7 separate regions of the Mus musculus genome follow, and all the other regions are reported to be linked to region 1. The links are microRNA targets in miRTarBase. Many come from high-throughput screens and were not tested one by one. Region 1 holds a microRNA gene; each other region holds the end of a gene's coding sequence. Distances are between the middles of the regions.

What was found. The annotated mature microRNA mmu-miR-297a-5p reads AUGUAUGUGUGCAUGUGCAUGU and lies in region 1 at 1,782-1,803, opposite strand. An mRNA with a match to its seed (bases 2 to 7 or 8) in the 3' UTR can be bound and repressed. Matches are read on the target gene's strand: a 7mer-m8 pairs with bases 2 to 8, a 7mer-A1 pairs with bases 2 to 7 and ends in A, and an 8mer does both.
Region 2: miRTarBase lists Kcnip3 as a target of mmu-miR-297a-5p. Seed matches in the 3' UTR shown: 7mer-m8 at 577-583.
Region 3: the mRNA of Pde5a is a reported target of mmu-miR-297a-5p. Seed matches in the 3' UTR shown: 7mer-m8 at 3,539-3,545.
Region 4: the mRNA of Rad21 is a reported target of mmu-miR-297a-5p. Seed matches in the 3' UTR shown: 8mer at 3,442-3,449.
Region 5: miRTarBase lists Dnaaf5 as a target of mmu-miR-297a-5p. Seed matches in the 3' UTR shown: 7mer-m8 at 3,634-3,640.
Region 6: the mRNA of Fzd1 is a reported target of mmu-miR-297a-5p. Seed matches in the 3' UTR shown: 7mer-m8 at 2,676-2,682 and 7mer-m8 at 2,209-2,215.
Region 7: the mRNA of Lcorl is a reported target of mmu-miR-297a-5p. Seed matches in the 3' UTR shown: 7mer-m8 at 3,607-3,613.

Annotation. Positions count from the first base shown.
Region 1 is chr2:10,514,810-10,518,879 of GRCm38, reverse strand. Mir297a-4 (microRNA 297a-4) reads right to left here and starts at 1,813; the gene lies at 1,716-1,813. The region is part of intron 10 of Sfmbt2 (Scm-like with four mbt domains 2); the gene reads right to left. Mir466h (microRNA 466h) reads right to left here and starts at 3,989; the gene lies at 3,909-3,989. Mir297a-3 (microRNA 297a-3) reads right to left here and starts at 3,060; the gene lies at 2,959-3,060. It also overlaps Mir466l, Mir669i and Mir669h.
Region 2 is chr2:127,454,685-127,458,754 of GRCm38, reverse strand. Kcnip3 (Kv channel interacting protein 3, calsenilin) reads left to right here. Exons shown (of 9, transcript NM_019789.4): 9 at 367-2,257. The coding sequence ends at 414. Among named protein-coding and RNA genes, the nearest start is that of Fahd2a, 12 kb to the right of the region's middle.
Region 3 is chr3:122,855,103-122,859,172 of GRCm38, forward strand. Pde5a (phosphodiesterase 5A, cGMP-specific) reads left to right here. Exons shown (of 21, transcript NM_153422.2): 21 at 93-4,070. The coding sequence ends at 230. Among named protein-coding and RNA genes, the nearest start is that of Gm34577, 6.6 kb to the left of the region's middle.
Region 4 is chr15:51,960,569-51,964,638 of GRCm38, forward strand. It overlaps Rad21 (RAD21 cohesin complex component), which reads right to left. Exons shown (of 14, transcript NM_009009.4): 14 at 2,036-3,679. The coding sequence ends at 3,488. Among named protein-coding and RNA genes, the nearest start is that of Gm52217, 28 kb to the right of the region's middle.
Region 5 is chr5:139,185,373-139,189,442 of GRCm38, reverse strand. It overlaps Dnaaf5 (dynein, axonemal assembly factor 5), which reads right to left. Exons shown (of 13, transcript NM_001081265.2): 13 at 2,933-3,933. The coding sequence ends at 3,797. Among named protein-coding and RNA genes, the nearest start is that of Sun1, 13 kb to the left of the region's middle.
Region 6 is chr5:4,751,837-4,755,906 of GRCm38, forward strand. It overlaps Fzd1 (frizzled class receptor 1), which reads right to left. Exons shown (of 1, transcript NM_021457.3): 1 at 2,003-4,070. The coding sequence ends at 3,816. Among named protein-coding and RNA genes, the nearest start is that of Fzd1, 4.3 kb to the right of the region's middle.
Region 7 is chr5:45,729,721-45,733,790 of GRCm38, forward strand. Lcorl (ligand dependent nuclear receptor corepressor-like) reads right to left here. Exons shown (of 7, transcript NM_001163073.1): 7 at 612-4,070. The coding sequence ends at 3,736. Among named protein-coding and RNA genes, the nearest start is that of Gm3414, 4.2 kb to the left of the region's middle.

The DNA of each region.
Region 1 (4,070 bases):
GACCTTTTTCATAGAGAATGAAAGAGAAGACAGCTATTAATGAGGGAGGTATTCCAGTCTCCCGAGCCAGATGAACGATAAATTTTAAATTAAGATATATTGCAATCTGAAAACTCAAAGAAAATCATCAGGTGTACGAAAAACCAAAAGAATCACACCATAGCCTGCCTGTGTGCTGAGTTCCAGAGATCCAACTCAGGCTGTCAGGTTTCCACAGAAGCCATTTTCACCTGGAGGGAGAACTAGCCCTGGATCCGTTCTGCATAAGCTCTAAAGCTCTGAGTCACATCTCATTCAAATAGATCGATCAGAGCCACTAATGTGCGTGTAGGTGAATGCCAGTGTGTGTGTTTATGTATATGTATGTGAACATTCATATACATACATTTACATGCACACATAAGTATGAACCCATGCACATACATGGGGGAGGGCATCACATGAATCGCATGCTGATCTCTAACTCATCATGAAGTGAAACATGAATTTGAACTCCAGGACCTCCTGACGCTGGCAAGAGTATTCACCTCCTAACTGAGACATAGCTCTGGCCCAGTACTGCATAAGCTCTAAAGCTCTGAGTCACATACCATTCAAAAGGATAAACGAGTGTCATTCCTGTGTGTGAGTGTGTGTGTGTGTGCATGTGTGTATATGCATATTCATATAGAGAAATGAATATGCACTCAACTATACACCCATGCATATTTTTGGTGGGCATCACATGAATGCCAGGATGATCACAAACTTATCAGGAAGTTAAGCATGAATTTAAATTCCTGATCCTTCTAACTCTGGCAAGTGGTTTTCACCTGGTGAGTTAGATGTAACACTGACCCATAATTATACACTCTATAAAACTCTAAGCACATATAAATCAAACAGATCTATGACTGCCATTCTTATGTGTATATGTATGTGTGTGTGTATGTTCATATACATGCATGTACAAGCACACTTACCTACACATATATACACATACACAAGGACAATCAAATGAATTCCAGGCTGATCTCTAACTCATCATGAAGTTAAACATGAATTTGAACTCCGTATCCTCCTGACTCTGGAAAGAGTATCCACCTCCTAACTGAGGCATAGCTCTGGCCCAGTACTGCATAAGCTCTAAAGCTCTGAGTCACATATCATTCAAAAGGATATATGACTGTCATTCCTGTATGTGAGTTTGTATGCATGTGTGTATATGCATAGTCATATAGAGAAATGAATATGCACACAACTATACACACATGCACATTATTGGTGGGCATCACATGAATGCCAGGATGATCTCTAACTCATCAGGAAGTTAAACATAAATTAGACCTCCTGATCCTCCTGACTCTGGCAAGAATACTCACCTCCTAACTGAGACATAGCTCTGGTCCGTTACTGGATAAACTCTAAAGCTCTAAGTCACATACCATTCAAAAGGATATATGAGTGCCATTCCTGTGTGTGCTTGCGTGTATATGCATATTCATATAGAGAAATGAATATGCACACAACTATACACCCATGCACATTTTTGGTGGGCATCACACGAATCGCATCTGATCTCTAACTCATTATGAAGTTAAGCATGAATTCGAATTCCTGATCCTCCTGACTCTGGAAGGATTATTCACCCGGTGAGTGAGATCACGCACTGGCCCAGTCATACAGAACCTCTAAGACTAAGTCACATATCATTCAAATGGATCCATGAGTGGCGATTTTGCGTGTATTTGTGTGCATGCTTGTATGGGTATGTGTGTATGTATATGTATACTCATATACACACATGCACATGCACACATACATATACACACAGGCACATACACTGGGGGGGGGGGGCGCCATCACATGAATCTGAAGCTGATCCCTACCTAATCATGAATTTGAGAATGAATTTCCACTCCTGATCCTCCTGACTCTGGCAAGCATTTTCACCTTGTGAGTGAGAGCACCCACTGATCCAGCCCTGCATAATCTCTCAAACTCTAAGTCACATACCTTTAAGGCCTGACTCTGGCAAGCACTTTGACCTGTTGAGTAAGAGCATGCACGGGCACAGTACTGCATAATCTTTAAAACTCTTAGTCACATATTATGCAAGTAGATGAATGCAAGTCACCATGTGTTTGTGTGTGTGTTGCATGTGTGTGTGTGTCTGCACATGCATATCCATATACATTCATGAACATGCACACACATGTAAGCACACGTGCACATACATGGGTGGCATCAAATGAATACCAGGATGATCTCTAAATGGAGTTTGAACTCCTGATCCTCCTGACTTTGTCAATCATTTACACCTGGTGATTGAGACCATTCACTGTCCCTCTACTGCATAATCTCTAAAACTCTAAGTCATATATCATTCAAATGGATCGATGAGTACCATTCCTATGTTTGTGTGTTTCTGTGCTTGCATTTATACATGTGTGGATGTTATATATATTCATATACACACATGCACACACAACTATACACACGTTCACATGCATGGGGGGAATCACATAAATCACAGGCTGATCTCTAAGTCCTCATGAGTGTAAGCATGCATTTAAGCTCCTGATAGACCTGACTCTGGCAGTTGTCTACACCTGATGAGTGAGAACACTCACTGTCCCCGTACTGCATAATCTCTCACCTCTAAGTCACATGTTATTCAAATGGATCTAAGAGTGCCATTAATGTGTGCGTGTGCATGCATGAATATGTGTGCATGTATTTATATGTATATCAATATATATATACATGTACATGTACACACAAACACACATGCACATACATAGGGGTCATCACATGAATGCCAGGTTGATCTCTACCTCATCATGCAGTGAACATGAATTTGCACTCCTGATCATCCTGGCTCTGGCAAGGGGCGTCACCTGGTGAGTGAGACCTCTCTGTGGCCCAGTCATACAGAATCTCTAAGACTCACATATCATTGAAATGGATCGATGAGTGTCAATTTTCTGTGTGTTTGTGTGCATGTTTGTATGGGTATGTGTGTATGTATATGTATATTCATATACACACATGCACATGCACACATACATATACACACAGGCACATACACTGGGGGCATCACTAGAATCCGAAGCTGATCCTGGACTCATGAATTTGAGAATGAATTTCCACTCCTGATCCTCCTGACTCTGGCAAGCATTTTCACCTTGTGAGTGAGAGCACCCACTGATCCAGCCCTGCATAATCTCTAAAACTTTAAGTCACATGTCATTTAAAAGTATCAATGAGTGCCATTCGGGGTATGTGTGTGTGTGTGTGTGTGTGTGTGTGTATGTGTGTGTGTGTGTGTGTGTGTGTGTGTGTGTGCCTGTGTGTATGTGTTTGTGTGTATTTATATGTATATTCATATGCACACATACATTAGCACACAAAACTATGCAACATGAACATACACTGGGAAGGAACCCATAAAGCCAGGCTGATCTCTAAGCCATTTTGAAGTTATTCATAAATTTGAACTCCTAATCCTTCTGAATATGGGAAGCTTTTTCACATTGTGAGTAAAAAGTTTCATTAGCCCAATACTACATAATCTTTAAAGCTCTATGTCACACATCATTCAAATGTATCAATGAATGCCATTCCATGTTTGTGTGCTTGCATTTACATGTATGTTTATGGTATGTATATTTATATACACACATGTGCATACACAGGGACGTAAACACACATGCACATACACGGGTGGCATCACATGAATACCAGGATGATGTCCAGCTGAAGTTAAGCATGAATTTGAACTCCCGACCCTGCTCAATCTGTAATATGTTTGCACATGGCGAGTGAGACCGTTCACTGTCCCACTACTGCATAATCTCTAAAAGAATAAGTCACATAGCATTCAAATTAATGGATGAATTCAATTCCTCTGTGTGTGAGAGTGTATGTGCTTGCATTTGTGTGTGTGTGTGCGTGCGTATGATATATATATTCACATACACACAAGCACATGCACACACAAATATACACACATGGACATACATGGCTGAGAATCACATGAATCACAGGCTGATCTTAAAATCATCATGAAGTTAAGCATGAATTTGAAC
Region 2 (4,070 bases), 120 Mb from region 1:
TGTGTGTGTGTCTGTGTGTGTGTGTGTCTGTGTGTGTGTGTGTGTCTGTGTGTGTCTGTGTGTGTGTGTCTGTGTGTGTGTGTGTGTGTGTGTGTGTATGTGTGTATGTCTGTGTGTGTGTGTGTGTCTGTGTGTCTGTGTGTCTGTGTGTGTGTGTCTGTGTGTGTGCATCAGTGGTGGCCGGACCCTGCTCCATCCCTAGGAATGATAGGTTGCACCTTGCCACTTGGGCTCTGGGGCTACCTTCTACTTCATACCTCTGCTCCTCAGTGTCCCATCTACCCAGTGAGAGTCTCTGACAGGAATCCGCAGTTAGTCAGCATTGGGGAACCAGCTCCTGACCGACCTTTCCTTTTCTCCATACAGGATGAGAACATCATGAACTCCATGCAGCTGTTTGAGAACGTCATCTAGGACATGTGGGAGGGGACCCCGGTGGTCATTGCTTCTCAACCCAGAGAAGCCTCAATCCTGACAGGAGAAGCCTCTATGAGAAACATTTTTCTAATATATTTGCAAAAAGTGAGCAGTTTACTTCCAAGACACAGCCACCATCACACACAGACACAGACACAGACATACAGACACACACACACACACACACACACACACACACACACACACACACATGGTTCCTCTGGCTTGGCCAAGGAAGTGGCAGCCAGAAGGCACCCCCGCCTATTCCTAGGTCAATAAAAAAGGCTGCCTCTGGGATGGCCAGCCCTGGCTAGATGTTACCCACAAGGAACTCAGAGATCGAGAGGACCAGGTCTACAAAGCTAAGGTCCCTGTGTCTTTTCTACCACTCGGGAGATCAAACTACTCCCTGCCTATGGACCCATGCTCTTAGGAAGCTCCCAGAAACTCCAAGGGGACAAAGAGGGGAGAGGTCTATAGGAAGAAATGGTTTTGGAAGCTGGGCTTGCAGCCTTATGCTAATGATCACCTGGGGTCCTGGAACCTGAGTGCCAGGCTACCTACTATGCCGTGAGCTTAGATAGTGAGGGGCCATTGGACTAAGACCTCCTGTAAGAGTGGGGCAGGATTGAGGTTTTTGGAGAAACTGAGGAAACAATTTGTCCATACCACTGGGTGAAGACTGCTGGCCAGTGGGAATGTGGCTGGTGGAGATTTCCCAACTTCCAGCACCAGGATGGCCTCTCCAAGGTCCTCTTTGATTCCCTGGGGAGATCACCTGGCTCATAGACTGACAACCAGGGAACTGGGCTGAAATGGGAGGTCTGGTAGGGGGCATCCCCCTCCTTTTCCCTGGCCACTTGCCACCCAGTTCCTTAACACAGTGGATCGGCCACACCTCTGTGGCTGCCCTTGAACAGACTCATCCCGACCAAGACAAAAAAGCACAAACTCCTAGCAGCTCAGGCCAAGCCCACAAGGGAAGGCCTGGGTCCCTGCAGCCCTGATTCAGTGGCCGAGGAAGACGCTCAGACATCCATCCTGTACCTCGGAGCCTTGGGGGTCTCACAGCCCTTTCCCAGCCCAGCTCGCCAACATTCTAAAGCACAAACCTGCGGATTCTGCTTGCTTGGGCTGCGCCCTGGGGATTGAAGGCCACTGTTAACCCTAAGCTGGAGCTAGCCCTGAGGGCTGGGGACCTGTGACCAGGCAACAGGTCAGCAGACCCTCAGGAGGAGAGAGAGCTGTTCCTGCCTCCCCAGGCCTCGCCCAGAAGGAACAGTGTCCCAAGAAGCATGTTTCCTGGAGGAACATCCCCACAAAAGTACATTCCATCATCTGAAGCCCGGTCTCTGCTCAGGCCTGCCTCTGAAAGTCCACGTGTGTTCCCCAGAAGGCCAGCCCCAAGATAAGGGAGGTCCTTAGAGGAAGGACAGGGTGACAACACCCCTATACACAGGTGGACCCCCCCCCCCTCTGAGGGCTGTACTGACCCCATCTCCATCCTGACCGGGGCCTTCCTTTACCCGATCTACAGACCACCAGTTCTCCCTGGCTCAGGGACCCCCTGTCCCCCAGTCTGACTCTTCCCATCGAGGTCCCTGTCTTGTGAAAAGCCAAGGCCACGGGAAAAGGCCACCACTCTAACCTGCTGCATCCCTTAGCCTCTGGCTGCACGCCCAACCTGGAGGGGTCTGTCCCCTTTGCAGGGACACAGACTGGCCGCATGTCCGCATGGCAGAAGCGTCTCCCTTGGGTGCAGCCTGGAAGGGTGGTTCCTGTCTCAGCGCCCACCAATATTCAGTCCTATATATTTTAATAAAAGAAACTTGACAAAGGAGATGGACTCTCTCCAGCTTCATCTGAACAGTCAGTCGGCCATTCCCTCCCTGCTGCTGTTAGCCATGACTCCCGACCCACCGGTGGCTTGGAGGTGAACGTTGACAGGTGGCTTTGAGGAAACAAATGTCCAGAAATTTCCAGGATCCTAGTGTGACATCACTGAGGGGAAAAAATGTCACACATCATGGGCCTTAGGGACCTCCAGTAGATATTCTAGTGCTGGAGCCATAAACACATAAGGCTGTGGGACACAGTGGCTTTCTGAGATGTCATTTATATTTCATTGCCAGATCAGTTTTCTTCCCAATTCCAGAAATTCACTTCTGGGTGTCCTTTGGGCAAGGGAAGGCAGGCCGTATGGAAAAGGAAGCAGAGAAGAGATGCCAGCATAGCTGTGTTGGTAGCATGCTTACCCGGCATTCATAAAGCCCTGAGTTTGGGGACCAGTTTGTGTGGGGGTAGGGACTTAAAGCACCATGTGCCTCTCATCCCAGCACTTGGGAGGTAGAGGCAGAAGGATCAAGGTCATCCTTGGCTACATGGCCAGTTTGAGTCCAGCCTGGGCTACATGAGACTTTGTGTATGGATCTGCATGTGTAGCACAGGAGAGAGAGGGCTCACTTCTGCCCAGGGAGTGGTTGGAGGATGGTGGGCAGGAGGTTGTTTGTGGCTGAACAGATAGATGCTTGGAGCAGGGAGGTGATGGGGTGTTGTGGTACCTTGTCAGTGGCCCCACTGGACAGCAGATTGATGAGTGGATAATAGAACAAGGCAAGTACTGTGAGGCAATCCCAGGGGGTTGTGAGCCAGCCTTAAGCACACAGGGCAGTCAGTAGCACCGCATGCTACTCCATGACAGTCGTTGGGTACAAAGCCTATTGTGCCAGTTGGCTGTGTGACCCAGACAAGCCACATGATCTCACTGCTTCACTTTTCTCTGTGGTAAAACAAGACAGAGAGAGACAGAGAGACATGGGGAGAGAGGGGGAGGGAGACAGACACAGGAAGAGAGGGGAGACAGAGAGACAGGGAGAGAGAGAGAGGGAGACAGAAAGAGAGACACAGGGAGAGAGAGGGAGACAGACAGAGACACAGGGAGAGAGGGGAGACAGAGGGAGAGAGACAGAGACACAGGGAGAGAGGGAGACAGAGAGACAGAGGGGGAGAGAGAGAGACAGAGAGACACAGGGAGAGAGACAGAGAGACACAGGGAGAGAGGGGAGACAGAGAGACAGAGGGAGAGAGACAGAGAGACAGAGAGACACAGGGAGAGAGGGGAGACAGACAGAGACACAGGGAGAGAGGGGAGACAGAGAGACAGAGGGAGAGAGAGAGAGAGACAGAGAGACACAGGGAGAGAGACAGAGAGACACAGGGAGAGAGGGGAGGCAGAAAGAGAGACACAGGGAGAGAGAGGGAGACAGAGACACAGGGAGAGAGAGACAGAGAGACACAGGGAGAGAGGGGAGACAGACAGAGACACAGGGAGAGAGGGGAGACAGAGAGACAGAGGGAGAGAGACAGAGACACAGGGAGAGAGGGAGACAGAGAGACAGAGGGGGAGAGAGAGAGACAGAAACACAGGGAGAGAGAGGGAGACAGAGGCACAGGGAGAGAGGGGAGACAGAGAGACAGAGGGGGAGAGAGAGAGAGAGAGACAGAGAGACACAGGGAGAGAGGGAGGCAGAAAGAGAGACACAGGGAGAGAGAGGGAGACAGACAGAGATACAGGGAGAGAGAGAGACAGAGAGACACAGGGAGGGAGACAGGCAGAGAGACACAGGGAGAGAGGGGAGGGAGACGGAGAGACT
Region 3 (4,070 bases), not on the chromosome of region 1:
AAGAGAACGCGATGCTCCTGCAATGAATGTGGCCCTGGTGGCAAGCCTGTGGCGGAGGCTTCTCTCTAGTTGTTTCCTTTCTTTTTTCTTAGGCCCTGACCCACGTATCCGAAGACTGTTTGCCCTTGCTGGATGGCTGCAGGAAGAACAGACAGAAATGGCAGGCCCTCGCGGAGCAGCAGGAGAAGATGCTCCTTAACGGGGAGAGCAGCCAGGGCAAGCGGGACTGACTGATGCCTCCCTCAGCCCCGCCCCCACACCCCTCCCCGTGTACAAACTGCCACAGGCCTGGTTTCCCAGTCCACTATGCAGACTTGAGTGCACTTTGCCACTGCTGTATTTTATTTTTTGCACAACTTTGGAGAGCGTGAAGTGTTTCAGAGATTGCTACCTACTTTCCATCCTTTTGTTTTATGCCACTGAAGTGGAGCGATCAAGTCATGCCCACTCTAACGCTTTTGATAAGGATGGTGTAAACGGCGATTCTACACTCAGCTTGGTCATGCTCGGGGATTATAAATACTGGCCTTTGTGTTCCTGAGTCACCACTTTTTTAAAACACCTTAGGAATGGTTCTGAAAAGTGGGTTAGGGGCAAAGTAAATGTGTTCGGGGACATTGAAAGCCACCTTGAAAATTAATGCTGACCGAGTGGGTGTTAGGGAGAAATTAATATAAACTTGTCAGAAGTGTCTTAACCAAGTTAAAGAATTGGGAAACAAGAAAACGTGGTACCTAATTGCTCTGCTCTTTCTAGGATGGGGAGAACTTGCAGTATATCCCATCTACGTGGTAGAACAAACTTAAGCTGCAAACCATCCATGCAGCCGCCCTCTTCAGCAAGCAGACTCCCCACTGCGTCTAAACCCCAGGCCAGATGATTCCCCTCCCCCAGCTGTCCCAAGAGAGACATGGGAGGGCCCTGGATAGCCCTCCACCAAGAGAAATGTTTTACTTGAAGATCTTTCTGACAATCCACATTTTTAAATACTGAAAACTTTTAAAACTAATTGCTTTTTTGGGGGGGAGGGGTCGTTGTTTTTTTTTTTCGAGACAGGGTTTCTCTGTGTAGCCCTGGCTGTCCTGGAACTCACTCTGTAATCCCAGCACTCAGGAGGCAGAGGCAGGAGGATTTCTGAGTTCGAGGCCAGTCTGGTCTACAAAGTGAGTTCCAGGACAACCAGGGCTACACAGAGAAACTCTGTCTCAAAAAACAAACAAACAAACAAACAAACAAACAAAAAGCCAACTAATTTTTTTTTTTAATTTTTCTTTTGCTTTTCATCTCCTTAATCCAACAGTTTAAGCTTCAACAGAGAAACGGTCACAGGGGCACATGCCTGAAGGCAGATATGACTACAGATACGCGAGTGCAAGTTGAGTCTTTATCCCTTCTGTCAACTGAAATTGACAGGAAAAAAATATTAATAATTCTATGAGTAGCAGAGGTTTGTCTCCAATAGGCAGGTCAGACAATGAATTCAAAGGAACAGTCTGTGAACGTCTTCCTGCCCAAACAAAACAGCATTCAGTATTAGAAGTAGAAAGTGAGTCAAAAAACAAAACAAAACAAAACAACAAACAAAAACAAACAAACAAAAAAACCAAATAACTGCATTAGGGGAGGAGCATCTGTTCCAGATGTGCAGATCTGTTCCAGATGTGCAGAAAGGTTTGGGTTTGGGCAGAATTAGAAGGATTTGATTTATTCATTCCCACCCTTTCCCCACATCCTCCCAAAGAGGGTAATGTATTTTGTCTGGGTTTCTAGCATTAATTTGCATTAAAATGGTTTCTCTCTTGCTTTTCTCTCTGTTTAAAATTCAACATGGTCATTTTAATCCTGTGTATGTATATTGTATTGTGGCTTTGTTCTTCCTCAGATATGAAAAGGCAAAGCAGGCTATACTGGCAGTGTTTTGTATTGGTCAAGGCTAGACCAGGGAATTGTCACCCAATACTAAATGTATTCTTGTTGTAATACTTGTATTTTTTTTTCAGAATTTTATCTTATTTTTATTTCATGTCATAGAGATGAAACCTGGAAGGTTGCTCTAACGCACTGGTGTGTAAATGGTACAGACTGTCACTAATAGTAATCACACCAGCCTCACACTCGCCTATGCAGAGTGTAGGCGCACTGCTTAGAGGACATTCTACAAGCCTGGCACTGTGACCGAGCAGCTATGCTGAAATGCAGTCATATACATGTGTTGCTTCTCCACACTCCTCTGACCTAAGTCACTGAGAATATTCTTAAAGAGTTCATTATATGTGGAGGGTTTGTCTAACATAGTGACAGGCAAGAAGCCGTATGTACATTGAAAATCATTCGGTTTGCTTTAGGTCGTGGTTTGTCTTACTCTACATATTAACATAGGAAAAGCACTGTGATATTTTATTGCTGGGTATTTTATTCAAATAATTTTTATTTTATAGGAAAACCATTCCATACATGGAATGCTATCTGTGGTACAAGAACACAAATCATAGTTTTTGTTCTGAATGTGAATATTGCCTTTCTAGTGTCCACTCAAGTTGGAATATATCTATCACATTATATTATCATTCCTCTCTCATGCTGCCGTGAATCCATAGTGCCCGTAATGAACAAGAAAGTGTTCTTGTCCTGGACTGTTCTCTTGACAAATTTCTTGGCTGGCTATAGTGAAATAATATGATATCATGTCATTTTTAACTTTCAGCCAGAAAAATCCTCGTGGTTTGGTAAGTTGTCTATAAAGTTTTCTGATCTTACACGTTTAGAAGAGTTAGCTGCCTTTACCAGTCAGGGTACTCACGTAGTTTGGTTTAGACAAAGCCTGTGTTTAAGGGGCATGCCCCCCAAGAAATAGCTAGCTCTTAAGCTTTTTTATGGACCTTTGAGACCACTGTTGCAAAATGGGGTATTGAGGTAATGACCTGACAGCGCCCGTCATTTCTTCGCTGAGTTCCTTAGATGGAAAACAAGTATTGTTAATTCACTCCACACAGACCTGGCTCGGAGCAAAAATGTAGGATGATACTCTGTCACTGGTTGGCTAATTACAAAGAAGAACTTCTTTTAGCAGCAACACGGAGACAAGAGTATATATGAACTTGAGTCAGAAATTCTTGCCTACCAGTTAAGTGCCTTTACTCTCAGAACGCTGCCGAAGTGTAAGGCTTGGCACCTATCACATTTCCAAATTTCCTGTGTTTCTCACTAGATTACACTCCTAAACCTTATCAGGTAAGCGGCATGGCCTTTTGCTTTAACTTGATTTAAGATGAGAAGAGATGAAATGTTCCCCGCTCTCCTGTAAACAGCTGTCTCAAATAAGGTGGCAGAATTTAATGACTCAGTGTCAACCATGCATCAGCCCGTTTCTTATTAAATCCTCTCCGTATGTTAGGCACAGTGCTCAGATGCTGAGACACAGCAGGAAGTGCCAGGAGCTCATGGGCCAAGCATGGAATGAGTAAGGGCATCGCTTCTCATCCCGCCAACTCAATGTGCAAGTATATAGGGCTTTCCACCACTTTCCCCTTCTTCTGTAACATACATAACATGCACTTTTATCCAAAATTTCTTAAGAATCTGTCAGTGAACATTCCGGCTTCCTGTTGGCGTGGACCATTTACCTTGCTGATAGCTTAAAGAGCACCTTACGCAAGGAGTCACATCTTCCACAACATAGGTCATGTTTCCATATTGCAACTAGAGAGAGAGAGAGAGATCGGAGTTCTCAGACTATTCAACTGCAGATTTGGACTCTTTCTGCCCTCTCACAGAGAGCAAAGAAGGAAGTATTAAAGCTTACCTCACCCTTCCACATTGTTATCAAAAGCCTGTGTAGACATGTCTTGAATGTCATTGAAAGTGATGTAAATAGCTGAAAAATATAAATTTCTATTACCGTTTAAGAACTCTAGTGAACCCTGATTCGCCACTGTTGATGACCTATTTGTATTCTTATGCCTTTTCAATATATCTGAACAAATATATAGTTTCTGGCACTATTTTTATACTAGCGTAAAAGAGTTACTATGTAAATTATGTTTTGTTGTGAAGTCATCTAAAAATGGCTG
Region 4 (4,070 bases), not on the chromosome of region 1:
TGTGGGCTTATGAACCCCTTCCCACTCCAGGCTTATACACTGATTGGGTTGATTGTATTCGGGTCTCGTGCCATGTGCCCGACTTCTGTCGCTCAGTTCTATCCACACTGCTTCATATGACAAAATTTCACCCCTTTTAAGGTTCAATATTCTACCATGTACACATACATTTCTCTTTTATACAGTGACCTGTCAATGGACATGGATAGGTTGTAGCCATCTTTGGCTAGTGTGCTTTTGTAGGCATGTGCATCTTATTTAATGTACTGACTTCAGCTCCTTCCGTAATGGATCATACTCAAGTTCCATTTTAATTTTCTGAAGAACCCCTATCAGTTGCATAGTGGCTTGACTCAGACATTCCTATCACCTGTATGAAGGTGTTGCATTTTGAAGTGTCCCCCCAAGGCTCCTGTATTTTAAACACTTTCTCAATGCTTAGTAAGGTTCTGGGTGGTTGTAGGCAATGACTGGTGGAATCTTACTTTTTATTCAGCCTTGTCTGTCCTGGAACTCAGTCTATAGTCCATGCTGGTCTTGAACCTGGAAAATCCGCCTGCCTCTGCCTCCTCTTGAGTGCTGAGATTAAAGGTGTGCGCCACTACCGGGCCTCAAAAGCCATTCTTTTAAGAGGAGATATTACCATTTGATCCTTGTTATGTGTTTCTACAAAGTGCCAACCTGCCTTTGGGCTAAGATTTTATCACAGGTGACGACTGAAGGACCAACCCTGAGAATTCTGAGAGTTTGGGATATTTCACGTATATTTAGCAACGCATAGTCAAACTAAGCAGAAGACTTTGAAAAGACCTTAAAACTGCTTCAAATATTGCCAATTATGTATGTCGGTTGTTAATTCATTTTCTGGGAGCCTAAAGAGCATTCAACCCGAAAGCCTGACCTAGTATAGCCCAGGGTGTGGATCAGCACAATCTCCCTTGAGGAATTTACCCTCAGCTGAAATCTGAACGGTAAGCAGCATTTACTGCCTGCGTAAGCAATTCACCCTGCAGACAGCTAAGGCAGTCTGCTCAAAGGAGGGCCTGCCAGTATATAGATACCTTTAGTCTTTCCAGTCTCAACACTCCACCATGATCAGTCCTGAAAACGGCCTATTTGTCTCTTTTTTAGACACTTCTCTATTCTTTATGTCATGTGATTTTCAAGACTTCAAGACCAAATTGTATCATTGAGAAAACCAAAACCCAAGACCACATTAATGCTAAAAAGCAGAGGGGAGTTTCAAATCCTGGTCCATTTTAACAGCAAGTATCAAGGCTAGTTGGCACTTCCTCAGATTCAGGTTAACGGTGGCATGGTGCCAGGGATTAGTTGCAATTTACTGAAGCATCAATGTTACTGCAAGCTTGTGGCAGCAGACCCCACCATTCACCCATTCAGTTATTACTGACTGGGAAGCAAGAAGTCAGAGAACACTTTGCTGGGCCATTGATCTAGCCAGTCTGTCCTAAGGTTCACTGGATGTGACACTGAAATGGCAGCAATGTGAAGTACAACCACACAAAATGGGAGTCGTAGTAGCTTTTGTTCCACCTATTAATATTCCCTTTAGACTTCCAGCTATACTGGTCTTTCTTTACCCGTCTTTAGGTCCCCCTTCTGCAACACTTGACCCATTTATTAATCACCCTCTTCCCGGGTCTAAATTTTCAAATCTTTTATTGCTCAGAAACTCACCTTCTCGAAGAGGTATATTCTGACTACCCTACACTAATACTGCAGCCAACCAACTATCTGCACCTATGACTTCAGTTACTGTGACTTGTTTCCCTGTCAGAACATGGACACTAAGCACTCTGCTTAGATTTAGAATTACCTTAAGACAGTGCTGCCTTTCAACAAGCTGTCAGACAATGGTCAGTAGTGTTCGTGGAACTACTGAACTTTAAAAAAAAAATTCACTTAATTAGCACAAAATATTCCTAGGTAAAGCAAATGAAATATTTGGCCATGTTAACTTTTTCAGTCAACATTTCTCTTGTGACATATCATCAACTGAGTATGTTCCAAAATGTACAGCTTGAAACACAACTTTTATTAGAAAAGTTATACATAACATAGCATCGACTATTTTCAAGAACAATATTAAACCCAATAAGCGACAAAAACTGGACTAACAAAATGTTTAACAAGAAACTAACGACCTTTCTATAATCAAACATTCAATTATCTACAGTGTCTTTTTACAAAGGGGACATCCATGGTTACAGGCACGTCGTATTGAAAAGAAAACTGCAAGAGCAATTTTATACAATTACCATTCTCGAGAAACTGAATCATTAAAGTAGTAATTACGAGTTCACAAATTTAAAATATTTCACATAATTTTAAATTACTGGGTATACATGGAAGTCTTAGTTTTAAAACTGATTTCCCCCCCATAAAAGTGCCAACACTTAAGCTAGAACTTTTCAACATAATTTTGTCCTACAAAGTGAACATGTTTTGATATTTATATAGTCACATAATTTCTGGTGCTATCTGGTCTGTTAATAATAAAGCCTTTATTAGGATGTTTTTCTCCACTTAAATTATAGGAAACTGATACAGGATTATAGTTGCAAAGTTATTAAAAATAAGTTGCAAATACAGGAGTGTGCAGCCTTGGAAAAAGATGAGTACTAACATTTATAATAAATATCAGAGAAGCCATTAGTTTTTACAGCACTGTTTGCTTAAAGGAAGTCAATCTGGGGTAGTCTCTCATTGGTCTGCCCTTCAGCAGGCAGGGGAATGTCTGCTTCCATGATCTCATTATTCAAGCAAACATCCAAACACCTCTGAGAGTGATCTGCAGCCCCTGAGGAGTCACGCCACTGTAGACGTCTGATCGTTCTGAGCTGCGGTGCATAGCATCAGAGGTCCTAAGACTCACGGAATGATTTCAGAACATAATAGCCGAAGAAGATCAGTCAGCACAACCTCACAAATTCTTGCTCAGTGTGGATTTACTTTAAACATGATCAAGAAGACAAGCACGATGCTTCACACACTATCCCTACTACAGTGGTTAACCAGACCGTTGGTTTCACTGATGGGAAGACATTTTTCTCTTCCTGTCAAGGGACTCAAACCACAGTTCTTAAAGTGTCAGGCATTTTCCTAGGCAGGTTTTCCTTTCAACATAGTAATGGAAAACTAACATTAAAAATGGTGCCTTTTGACTGTTACTCCATATTCTTACATGCACCAATATTGCACACATCTGTTCTGAACTGTTAAAAGTCTTCTGGGTTCTTGGGCTACTGTTTTCTCCAGGAATACAAACCCAACCCAAATAAGCAGTTTCCCTTAAAAATATGGTTGACAAAATTAGAAACACTGGGGGGAAAAAGAAGAAAGAAAAGGCAAAGATTTTTGTACAAACAGAAATCTAAAAACTTTCTTAAAGGGTTTTGGTGCCCTGCACACGGGGGCAATTTGTATGTACTAGTGAGTTATCACTAGCTCGAACACATCTAGCTCCTCAGATAATATGGAACCGTGGTCCAGGGGTTGCAATGATGTCACTGTACGGCTCTTCCTGTGTGAGCTCGATGGCTTGCTGCTTCTTAAGAACCAAAAAGCTGTAGAACTTTGCTGCTGCCTGCTTTCGGTTTGTGTTTCGACACAGCTCAAGCAAACTGATAGACTCTGCTCCAGTTTTAGCAAGAGCTCGCTGAAATAGAACAAAACAAAGCAGATGATTTCAAGTAACTCACGCACAAAGTAGTAACCAGAAGATGCAATTTTGGCACTGGTCAAAGTGAGCTCCGTTTGGCTGGAGCTGGGACTGGACATTCGTGTAGTTACGCAAGTGGTTCCCATGCTAGTCACTAAGGTAAAGGCCTTATTATCTAAAGCATATTATCTTAAGGCATACAGAGTTCAAGAAGTAAGTGAAGGCGCCACAACAGAGATGTGAGTTAGCAAAAACAAACACTCAGCAGATTTTAAAGTGAAAACAAAACCAAAATCAAACCGGCCCCTGATAACCTTCCAACCCTAAGTATCATCCATCCCCATGTGCAGAAAGGAAGGAACTTGGGAGAACTGTCACGGGTGCTCCA
Region 5 (4,070 bases), not on the chromosome of region 1:
AGCACATGATAGGGAGGTGCTCTACCACTGAGCCACGGCCCCAGCCCTCACTGGGGGATTCTAGGTAGGTGCTCTACCACTGAGCCACGGCCCCAGCCCTCACTGGGGGATTCTAGGTAGGTGCTCTACCACTGAGCCACATCCCAGCCCCTCACTGGGGGATTCTAGGCAGGGGCTCTACCACTGAGCCACGCCCCCAGCCCCTCCCTGGGGGATTCTAGGCAGTTGCTCTATTATTGAACTACATCCCCTTCCTTATTATTATTTATTTTTGATTTTTCGAGACAGGGTTCCTCTGCATAGCGCTGGCTGTCCTGGAACTCACTCTGTAGACCAGGCTGGCCTCAAACTCAGAAGTCCACCTGCTTCTGCCTCCCAAGTGCTGGGATTAAAGGCGTGTGCCACCACTGCCCGGCTCCTCTGTGTTGTTGTTGTTATTATTATTATTATTATTTTTTTTTTTTTTTTTTTTTTTTTTTTGGTTTTTCGAGACAGGGTTTCTCTGTATAGCCCTGGCTGTCCTGGAACTCACTTTGTAGACCAGGCTGGCCTTGAACTCAGAAATCCACCTGCCTCTGCCTGCCAAGTGCTGGGATTAAAGGCGTGCACCACCAATTATTATTTTTAATTTGAGTGTGGGTGTTTTGCCTACGTGCATGCTAGTGACTGATGCCCATGAGGTCAGAAGACACCTGACCCACTAGAACTGGATGGAATTCTGGATGGCCGTGAGCCACTATATGGGTGCTAGTCCTCTGCAAGAGCAGCAGGTGCTCTTAAACTGTGAGCCATCTGCCCAGCCCCCCTTTAATTGTGTGTGTGTGTGTGTGTGTGTGTGTGTGTGCAGATGACGAGAAGAAAACTCCCATGAGTTGGTTCTTTCCTTCAGTCATGGGTCCTGGGGACTGATTCAGGTCGTCAGGTTTGAGTGACAAGCACTCTTGCCAGTTGAGTCATCTTTTGGGCTCACCTAGCCTGTTTTACTTTTTATATTGAGGCAAAGTCTAGGTGGTCTTGAACTCACTCTGTATCTATCTTAGACTGGCCTCTAATTTTTTTTTTAATTTTTTTATATGTTTTTTGAGACAGGGTTTCTCTGTATAGCCCTGGCTGTCCTGGAACTCACTCTGTAGACGAGGCTGGCCTCGAACTCAGAAATCCGCCTGCCTCTGCCTCCTGAGTGCTGGGATTAAAGGTGCGCACCACCACCACTTGGCCTTTTCTTTTTCCTTTTTAAAAAACTAAATTGTATTTATTTGCGTGTTGCAAAGAGGGCATGCAACATGTCTTTTTGTGAGTGTCAGAGGATAACTTGGCAGAGTCAGTTCTTTCCTGCTACCATGTGTGTCCCAGGGCTTGGTGACAGGTGCCTTTGCCTGAGACATCTCTCCAACCCTTGAATACACTCCTGTGTACCATCCATTTGTGTGAGCACACATGCTACACTGCATATATGGAGGTCATTCTTTCCACCGACCCTTTCATCACTGGGCTTGCTCAGCAAGTCGTTTCACCCACTGAGCTGTCTCACGGGCTGTGACACATTAAGAAGCCCATTTGTTAGCCAGGCAGAGGTGGCAAACACCTTTAATCCCAGCCCTTTGAAGGCAGATCTGAGTAGAGGCCAGCCTGGTCTCCAGAGTTCTAGGGCAGCCAGGGCTATGCAGAGAAACTCTGTCTCAAAAAAGAAAAGAAAAGAAATCCAGTTGTTTACATGGGCTTGACTGAGGGGTTTTGTTTTTCAAAAAGAAAGGTGGGCATGAGGAGGAGAGGACACAGCTCCTGACCTCATTTTCCCACTTCCACCCTAGGGAGGCTTCTCTTCCAACTGAGCATCTTCCCTCCTAAGGAGGCAGCTGGTGAGATGGCCTGTCTGCACTGCTAACAAGTGTCCATATGATGCTAATGTGATGGTGGTTAAGTGCGCTCACCCCACAGGCTCCTCAAAGCGGTCTGCCTCAATGGAGGTGGTGCTGTGGTGTGTGCCTGTCACCTAATAGCCCACTCTAACTTCAGATCAATAAAGCAGCTACAAATAACCCCCGACTCTATGGGACTCACCTCCCCAATCTGACTCAGCCATTATGTTTGGAGCAATGGGAAACAGGCCCACACCATGAGCAATGTATCCACAAGGCTTTTGAGTACAGCTGGAGCCCCAGCAACAGCTGATCCGGAAGATCCATGAAGCCTAGGATACTTACTGGATATCTCTTTGCAAAGATGCGATGCTGAGCTAGGGGTGGAGGGAGGTGACTCCTGCTTTAAATAAGTGATGGGCTGGGGGCATGGCTTATGGGTAGAACACATTGGCAAAGTCTTAAGTTCAATACTCAGTAATGCACAATAAATAAAATAAAATGCCTGGTGCTCTGACCAACAAGATGGCTCAGCAGGCCAAGGTGCTTGCTGCCAATGCTGTCAACTCGACTTCAATCCCCAGGACCCACATGGTGGAATGAGAGACCTGAGTCCTTCAGGTCCTACTTCTACATGTACGCTGTAGCCTATGTGCACTCTTTGACAAATACAGATTGTAATAGATAAAACAAAGAGCTGAACAATCTTGCACATGACCGACAGAGCTCCAGGCAGCAAGGATAATGGGAAATGGACAGAATGCAGTTTCAGGCCGCAGTCCCTGGGCCAGGCACTCTGAGGCCAAACTTCACCCACCTGGATGTCCAGCCTGACTCGGGACCATACTGGTGTACCCGGCTTACCCTGGTGATGGCTGGGCCTTATTGGCCCTCCAGCTACCTCATGTCAGAATGCAGGTCATAGCCAGTGATGACTGTCACTAGAGGGGCCCATCCCATGGAGTCCACAGCCAGCATCCCTCAGGCTGGACCACCTCAACACCGACATATGGAGACAGGAGCTGTCTGTACGGATGTAGTGTAATCAGTCAAATCACACAGATGGCCACACAAATAACTATAATAAATAATTTAATTCCATAAATGGCAAAGCAGAAATGTTAAAATTTGTTGGACACGACCCCCCCCCCCCCCAACATTGTCTTAACAAAAATATAGGCTGCGGCTAAGAACCACTTAGAAATCTTTAGGCACTTGGTGGAAAAGACACTGGAGAATGGCCACCTTACTGACTGCTACAGCAAGTGGTAGGGATGAAGGCTGGTTTCCTAGTCTATCCTTTACCCACGGGCATCACTAATACTGAGAAACAGAAACACCAGGACAGTGCACCCACACTGCAAGACATTCCAGTGTATTTAAAATCGGGAGGAGCAGGGTGGTAGTGGTGCGGGTCTTTAATCTCAGTGTGGGGAGGAAGAGGCTGGTGGATCTCTGAGAGTTCCAGAATAGTCAAAGCCTCACAGGGAAACCCTGTGTCAAAACCCAGAATAGTTGGGAGAAACTTTATCAGTGAGTCAAGACTGGACACTGTCCTCAGCACAGGATGATGGGACAGAGCCCAGAGGAAGTGGATGGTTGGTTGTTTTATAATCCTTTGGCTTTCCTGCAATGTGAAGAGCATTATGGTGAATCTGAAAGCAGCCCAGGACCCCTGGGGCTTGTAATTTAAAAACATTATGTTCAAGCAGCTAATTGGGAAGCTGGCGTGTGTGTGTGTGTGTGTGTGTGTGTGTGTGTGTGTGTGTGTGTGTGTATGTGTGTTACAAAACCCCAGAAATCTGCTTAGGAAACACAGAAGCTGATGTTCAAGCACCATCTGGGGGCCCAAGGATGGCCCGAGGCCATGGACACAGTGTCTCAAGTGCGAGGTCTGCAGGCCACCACTGTCTGCCTTCAGTAGCTGATGCACACAGTCACCGAGCAGCGGCCATGGTCTGCATGTGCTGCAGCAGCTGCTCGCAGTAGGTAGCTGAGCGGTGTTTGTGGACGACAGCCTCCGTCTCCCGCACCAGCACATCTGGGAACAGGACGCTGCCCTCCTTGAGGACTTCTAGAAGAGAGCATAGAACCCTGAGTCCAGCATCAGTGGGCTGGGTGCCCACCTCCCAGCTTTACAGAGCTGGCAATCTTTCTCTCTGGCTGCTGGGTAGATCCCACGGGGCTGAAACCACCTTCTTACATGCATGC
Region 6 (4,070 bases), not on the chromosome of region 1:
GTGTCAAACTGTCACACAAACCATGCATTATTTGTGCTCCTACAGGTCAGTCCTGCAAGACTTTGAGATTGGTGTGTTAAGAAATACTCAGTGAAAATATCACTAGTGTCCACATGTAAACATGTGTAGTGACCATGTTCTGTTTTAATTTCTTGGACTCCAGTTATATAGAAAATCATCATCGGAAATGTATAATGGTTTACAATGTTCTGCCACTCTAGTTTCCTAGTTAAATGCTGGCTCTTTAATAACAATGTATGTATGGCAGAAGGCTTCAGTGCTCACAGTAGAGACAAAAGGACCAGGGCTCTAACCTCAGGCTAACAAGAAACCATTGCAGAGCTGCTGAAATATCCCCTCTGGTTCTTTTACATATGCTTGGTACAGTCTGCCTCTGGGATGAAAAACACAATTCTTTGTCTCCATAAAATCTAGGTGAAAAGAAAATATGAACATCAGAAGGTGTTCATGTTACCTTAATATTTACTGTAAAAGCTGAATTGAGTGCACTGTCAGGGGGGAAACTGACTTCAATAGAAAGTTGGCTTTAAAAAAAAATCCAGGCAAATCAAGCCATGTGAAAGTAGGATTTGTCATGGAAACAGCATCCTAATGGGATCATATCATCAGCGGCTCCACGGTTTCCCAGGTAAGTTTTATTTTGCCATCAATACTGAACGAAGCAAAGCCAAGCCAAATCAAACAAAAACCTTCCTGGTTTTATGTATCTCACATACTTTAAAATAAAGTGCTTTCTGAAGACAAAGCCTGACAGTGACTTAAAATACTGTTTGAGTGATATTTTAATATAGAGAGAATATAAAACCTGTTACTGTTTGAGTGATATTTTAGTATAGAGAGACTATAAAACCTTTCTGTGTCAAATTCACATCTGCATCATTTTAAGGACACCCACAATAAGGCTGGTTTGTTTGTTGTTGTTTTGTTTACATTTATTCCTGGAACAGAAACTAATTAATTGTCATAAATATTTCTCCCACAAGTTACATAATTACCTAATGAGACATGTTCTCATTTGGTTAAAGAATTACTGTTTTTTTTTCATGTCTATCTCTATATAAAAGCTTCTCAAATGCCATCTTTTCTATTAATGTAACAACCAAAAATTGTTTCTTCCAACTTTAAATGTGTATTTTCCATTAAATTAAAATGTTTAATATCTTAAATGAATTAAGACTTATAACACAATTTCCTGATAACCATAAAAGCCACTCTGGTGCATTAATGGATTCTCTTTAGCCCTTTGTCTTTTGATTTTAGAAAGTAATGAAAAATATAATAAAAATATTTTAAATCTCCAGATATTTGAAGTTTTCTAATAGGGTTCTATTTCTCATATTATTCCCATATTATAAAATGTAAATTGTTATTTCTATTTTGCTGTATATATAGTCACATGCATGTGTACAGGTATATGTACATGCACGCATATCAATTCTGAGGTCACATAGGAAATTCCTCTGTGAAAGGTTCTCTGAACAATACAGATGGAATCTTCAGAAGTAAACAACAACAACAAAACGCTTCCACAGCCTACTGCCATCTTAGATGCTTATAAACAGAGTCCGTGACCACATACTGATTGCCTGTTTATGGGTTTTCGGATGTGCACGGTAATGGAAAAAAACAAGACAATACCTCATAGAACATCACAAAGGCACCCAACTGAAAGATAAACCTCTGTCAAATAAAAGTCATGTAAATGTATTCCCTGAAAGAAAGAAAAAAGCCTCAGTGTTAAAATTAGAGTTAGACTTTAAAAATAATATTGTTTGAAAATATTCTATTTTCTGCTACCATGAAAACAGCCTTGGCATGGGACTCTACACATGCCATTCAGAAGGCAGGCTGGTTGCACTTTGCAAGGGTGGATTTTTCCATTGAATCTTTTAGCTTTGTATATTGTGGACTGGTTGTGAGGCATTGTAAAATGTAAAGGCAGTTCAGATAGGACGATTGTTTTCAGGCACACACAGAAAAATGTAATTTTGTACAAAACTTTCATTTTTTTATTTGCGAAATTAAAAATATGGCATTTTATATATATAAACTTCTATTCCTCTATAAATATAGATGATCTCATGGTGGTGAGAATAATAATAACAATAATAACAATAATAATGCATACCAAATCCAAAAACCAATGTCATTTTAGGGTATGACAGACATAGATAAATTTAGGTCCTATGTATGTATCGGCATTTGTGATAAACTCTTAAGGTTTAAACACTACAATCAGGAGGACTGCTTTTCTCCTCTTCTTCATCCATAACTAAAGTGAGTATTTTTAAATGGCTTTGAGAGATTTACATTTGACACACTGCCGTAAATCCAGACAGGAGCACACAAGATGGGATGCAGTAGGAATGGACACACTTCCCCTTCAGCATGCATGCCTAGGTCGTGTTTGTCTCTCTCACCCATCCGTCAGTCCACCGCCTCTGTCTTCGGAAGTCCAACCAGGCTTTCTGCGGGGGTGTGACTGTTTCTCCCTCAGAATGTGCTGCTGAGGAGTAAGCAAAGTGTATTGTTGATTGTGTACAACTTTTAGATTGCAAAGACACATCTAATTGCAGTTTGGCTAAAACCAGAAAACAGCGTTTCACTTGGAGTAACTCCACTTCACTGAAATCTCCTTAGGTTTCCATACTCTGTGTATGTTCTACTATCCTGTTAAGGAAGGTAAACCATTCCTTCACCAAGCTTCCCAGGCAACCTCGAGGTCTGCATTTCATAGAAGGGTAAAATCTAGAAGCAGGCAGCATCACAGGGGGAAGAAAGTAGGTTGCCAGACATCAGAATGCAATTAGAACTAATGTTTTATAACCTCTCTCTTTAGCCTCTCCCAACCCACAAAGCTTGCTGCTCTTTCCATGATGATGACCAGACCCAGAGCAAGTTCCAGATACTAGAGAGTAAAAATGAGCTCATCCATAAAAAGTCAGACTCTCCAAAGTTCGCTATCGGTCGGTTACTGCACTCCCTCTGAACAACTTAGGTGCAAGGAGAAAGACACTGGGCAAGGGACACCGGGGTACAGGGAGGCTGGGTCAACTGGCAGAGCCCATACTGGGGTCCTCTAATAAAGCTGGAAGGTGGATCTCAAATAAGCAGCATCAGGAAGTCACAGGGACAGCCATCCACACTCTACCGCTGAAAAGGGGAGGATCTGGAATGGGCGGGGCCCACCTCGGGATCTGGAAGCTTTACAGAGTTCTGCACCTTAAAATTTCCCACTGCAAGCAAGGAAGGGGAGGGGCGGGAGATGCTGAAGGAAATGACCCTGGAGAGGCAGGCCCATGCTCCCTTGACAAAGATGAGGGCACAGGGCAAAGCACTTAGTCAAGTGTGCTCTGTTTTACCTCCTCTGCAATCTGCAGAAAAGGGCAAGTGAGAAAAGCTCCAAATACGTAAATTGCCCTAAATAATTAAACATTTTTAAAAAGAAAAAAAAACTGCGTGTTCGATAGTCTTTAAATACAAATATACGTACAAAAATCTTACACAGGCTATTTACAATCATAAAAGCGTACAATCCTGGTATCAGAGAGGGCTAGAGAGATCGGTCCACACGCACATACACATACACCTCGATCAGTTGGGCCCTCTCGTTCCTTTACCCCAGGGACGGAAGCTTTTGCAGAACCTGTGCTGTTTGTTGGGAAAGGGGCCTGCAAAAGTCAGTGGCTGGCGAGGAAGCCTGGAGTGGCCAGGCTTGGCAGGAATTCCTTGGGGCCAGCTTCCAGGCGATGGCTAGGATCAGGCCAAAAAAGGGTAAGGTAAGAGTCTGGGTTTCAGACGGTAGTCTCCCCCTGTTTGCTGTTGGTAAGCCTCGTGTAGAACTTCCTCCAGGAATTCAGTGTCTTGCCGGACCAGATCCAGAAGCCCGATGTGATGCCCACAATCAGCGTCATGAGATACTTGATCATGAAGACTGTAAAGTCTGGGCTCATGGGCGGGTGTGGTGGGACTCCTCCACCTCCCTGGAGGTGAGGGCAAGGGATGGCATAACTCTTGCAGCTCTGGGCCACCCAGCTGCGCTCCCACTG
Region 7 (4,070 bases), not on the chromosome of region 1:
AAATTTAAAAATACTAGTGGTTGCTGATAATATGAACAATAGATTAATATATCAGATTTTCAGGTATAAGAGTTGACCTTATACTAAATTAGTTACAAAATATAAAAAATTTTTCTCCCTCATTTTTCCATCATAGTCTCAAAGGGAATCATAGTGAGTGAACAGAAACATGTGTGAGTCTCCAATTCACAATTTATTCTCTAGTAATTATATAAAGATGCTAAAACTATAATTTTGAGACAGTCTCACAATGTAGCTTTGGGTGGCCTGGAATTCCCCATGTAGACTAAGCTGGCCTAGATAGAACTCACAGAGACCCACCTGCCTCTACCTCGTAAATGCTGAGGTTAATTAAAGGCCACCTTAGTCTACCTGGCTGTAATGTCTCTTCTTAGATCAATTCTTTCTAATTCTTCCTGTTTGTTTATAATCCCAAACATCTCATTTTTGTTTCTATTCTGCCTTTTTCTTAGAAATTTGTTGTGGAATGTTTCTTGGGAAAAGTCAAATTCTAACACTATTTAAAACTAAACCAAACAAACCAAAACCAAAACCAAAAAAACAAAACAAAAAAACCCTCCTCATAAGGACTCAAAGAACTCAGTATAGTCAAGTTTACTTTTCTTTTCCTTTACTGAATGAGTAAATTAACCACACACCGACAGTGTTGTAAATTTAAGTGCAAAAGCATTGAAGTGCTTTACTACAAATTACAACCTAGAAACACGTTAACTGAACAATTAAAATTCATACAATCAGATTTAGATATATAACAACACAAAGTAGGAACAAAATTACAGTACATGTACAACACAAGACAGATACATGAATTCATTAGAAAATATTGTAATAAATAATTCATGAATTATAGTGCAATTGATTTATGCATAAATATAACTAATTGCCTAACAATCAGTTTATATTAACAAAATCTGTCAAAATCAAGGCAGCCACAGAGTTTTACTAAATTACTGCGACAATGGAAATACTGCAATTAAAAAAAAAACCCACAAGTATCTGCACTGTAAACAACTAAAAAAGAAATCAGTTTCACTAAAGTCAGTATACAGTTTAATATAAAATTGTCATCAGCTATCAGAAATGGTTTAAACAACTTTACTGAGCAGTAGTTTTCTAAAAACAGAGGCACTGTTTTTTTCTTTTCCTTCTTTTTTTATTTTAAATATAAAATACTTGAGGAACATTCAAATAAGTAGAAAGCGCATAAGGGTTGCTTTCATATTCATTAAAAGTCAGCTGAAATTGGATTTTTCAGAAACTGTCAATTAAGTAGTAACTGGTAATTAAATTTTTAAAGGATTTTGAAAGTTTAACATAAAGCACGTTTTAATAGAACCAGTGGGGAGAGGGGAACCCATAAACTTCCCTGCCTTTCCTAGTTTGTATAATTAAAAAGTCAACTCAGTAATACAAACGTTATGTTTCTTTTAAAAGTTATGGGTGGATCATTACCTATAAACTATCAAAAAATATTTTAATTTACTATTTGACCAAAAATAAATAATAAGTACTAAAATGCTGCAAATTAACTTTAATATTACCTATAAAACTACTGGTCACTGTGAAGTCAATAGCAAAATGATCCCTGATTTATGAATGCTGTAAAGTTTTTGGTCAGGTCATCTTTTAAATGATAGAAAAGTGTTCTGTAAGTTTCCCTTTACTATAAACTTCTCAATCAATTTATCAATGTAAATATAGTGTGAGGAATAAAAAAGCTCAATACAATATAAATATTATGTAATGCATTCGAGCTCCCAAAGTTTTGCAAGTAAAATTCTGTATAAAGAGGTCAAGAAAATTGTTTTTTGAAGCATTTACTTTTTAACTTTGTTTTTCAATGGGAGGAGGGGGAAATATAATAAATAATCCATGTTCCGGTCCTCACAAAATATGGCTTAATTCTTTAAAAAGAAAGATGACCCTGACAAATGCTGTCTTGTAATCTATTAAGTATATTTTCTTGGGGGAAGAAAAAGATAAAGAGGATTCATACCCCAGTATGCAGGTAATGTTAACAGCTGAAAATGTTCAGTACAGATCTGAGAGACCAAGCGATTACCTGGTCATATATTTTCTCATTCTTCAGTTTCTTTAAATACATGCAAGCAGTTTTAAAGTTTAGTAGCTGAACAATCACAAGTTCATGTGATTACTAAATACACACAAACACAAGTGTAGCAACACAAGTATTTGACAAGGTGCACTTATATTTAAATTCAGCTGTAAGAATTCCTTTTGGATTTATAAAAAGTGGCTTAGGAACATGACCAGAACCTGAATTCTAACAGAGAAAAGGGCATAGAGGAGGAGTCTCATCTATAAAGCAGATCTCCTGTCTTTACACGGAGGTACATGCTTTATTACATTTCTACTACCAAAACTGCATACTTCATAAACCCACATGAATACTCTGACCCATATTTTTAAAACTGTTTTATAAAAATCACTGGTTTCATATGAGTCTAGTAAAAGTTAAAATGCACTGCCCAGCTTCTAAATATCCAAGTAGTAAAGAGTTTACATTACTGAAAATTCAAAACAGCGTCAGTGTTAAATATCTGTAAATCTATTCAAGACCCTGAACAAACTGCAAGTTTGGTTATTAGCAAAATGATAATGTATCACCCACCAAAATGAAATCTGTAATTCATCTTGATAAACTGAAAATGTTTTGAAATGTCACAGCAGCAAATATATTAAAGTTACACTGAGGTTTTTCAGTAGGAGTGTGTCACAATCCTTAAAGTAGTCATAACGTCAACTAACCAGCACATTAACCACAATGACCATTCTCAAGCTTGTCCTGCGCACATTATAAACATGCTCTAAGTGGCATTCCAACTTCTTTCCTAACCTTACACATTAGCTTAGTTTTCAAATGAAAAACAAAATTAAGTTACTTTAATAATTAAATTTAAATTACTTTTTGCTTTTAGTATTCCATCTTATATTAAAGGATTCTATAGCTTCTGGGGTTAATTAACTATGTCAGCTTTTTTAAAATTTAAATTATATACGTAATAACCCCAACTTCCTGCTAACTCAACAATTAAATGATAAATATTAAATTTTACTATACATATCCTTTAAGGTTTTCTCTTCTATCCTGGCGGATGCACTTTAGTGCATTCTGTATTTCAAAGAATGCACTGTAGTGTATTAATACTGTATCTATTAGTTACTCTTGGTACAGAGGTAACTATTTAACTTTGATTGGTTCTTTGACATACTCACAATCATTGTAGGTATGTTACATAAAAGTGTTCACAAACTATTAATATCATGTTTCCATTATGAGATGGTTCAACTGAATGGCTACAATCTTTTTACCAATAAAAAAATGTCTCACTTGACGGTTACTTGTTTCCCCACATTTATGCTATTGACTACTAAAGAAAACCTGAATCTTTTTCACCTATTTATACAAGGATTAAATACAAACTATCAGAATTAATAAGCAACTCTATAATTCTGTCCACAGTGAAAACCCTGAATAAAACTTTTTCAAAAGGCATGTAAGTGGTTTTTGAACTGTAAAATTTCATGTCTCCTGTCAGAGTGAGCATTTGTAATTTCCACATGTGTATGTAGATACACACACACAAAGACTCACATACCCCTGTACACATACATTCCTGCACGCACACGCGCGCACACACACTCTCACACACACACACACACACAGTCTCGCACATGTTCTCTAACAGTAATCTACACAGGCTTGCTGCTGTTTCTGCAGCTGCCAGTCCCTGAATCTGTCATATATAACCCAGTGTCTGGTAATCGTAGTTTCTTCTTCGGAGGAGTCTTCAGTGTTCCAGATCTTTCCTTTACCTTGTATTCTAAAGTGCTGTGAGGTACCCCATAGATTCCTTGTGCTTTGGAAACACTCATTTTCCCACTCATTACCATTGCAATGGCCTCTTCCATTATTTCATGATCATACTGTCGATAGCGGCCACGTTTTTTCCTGGGCTGCTTATTATCTTTCCGGTCCAGTCCATCTTCAGTGTTCTCAGAGGTTCCATCAACTGTTCCATTTTTAG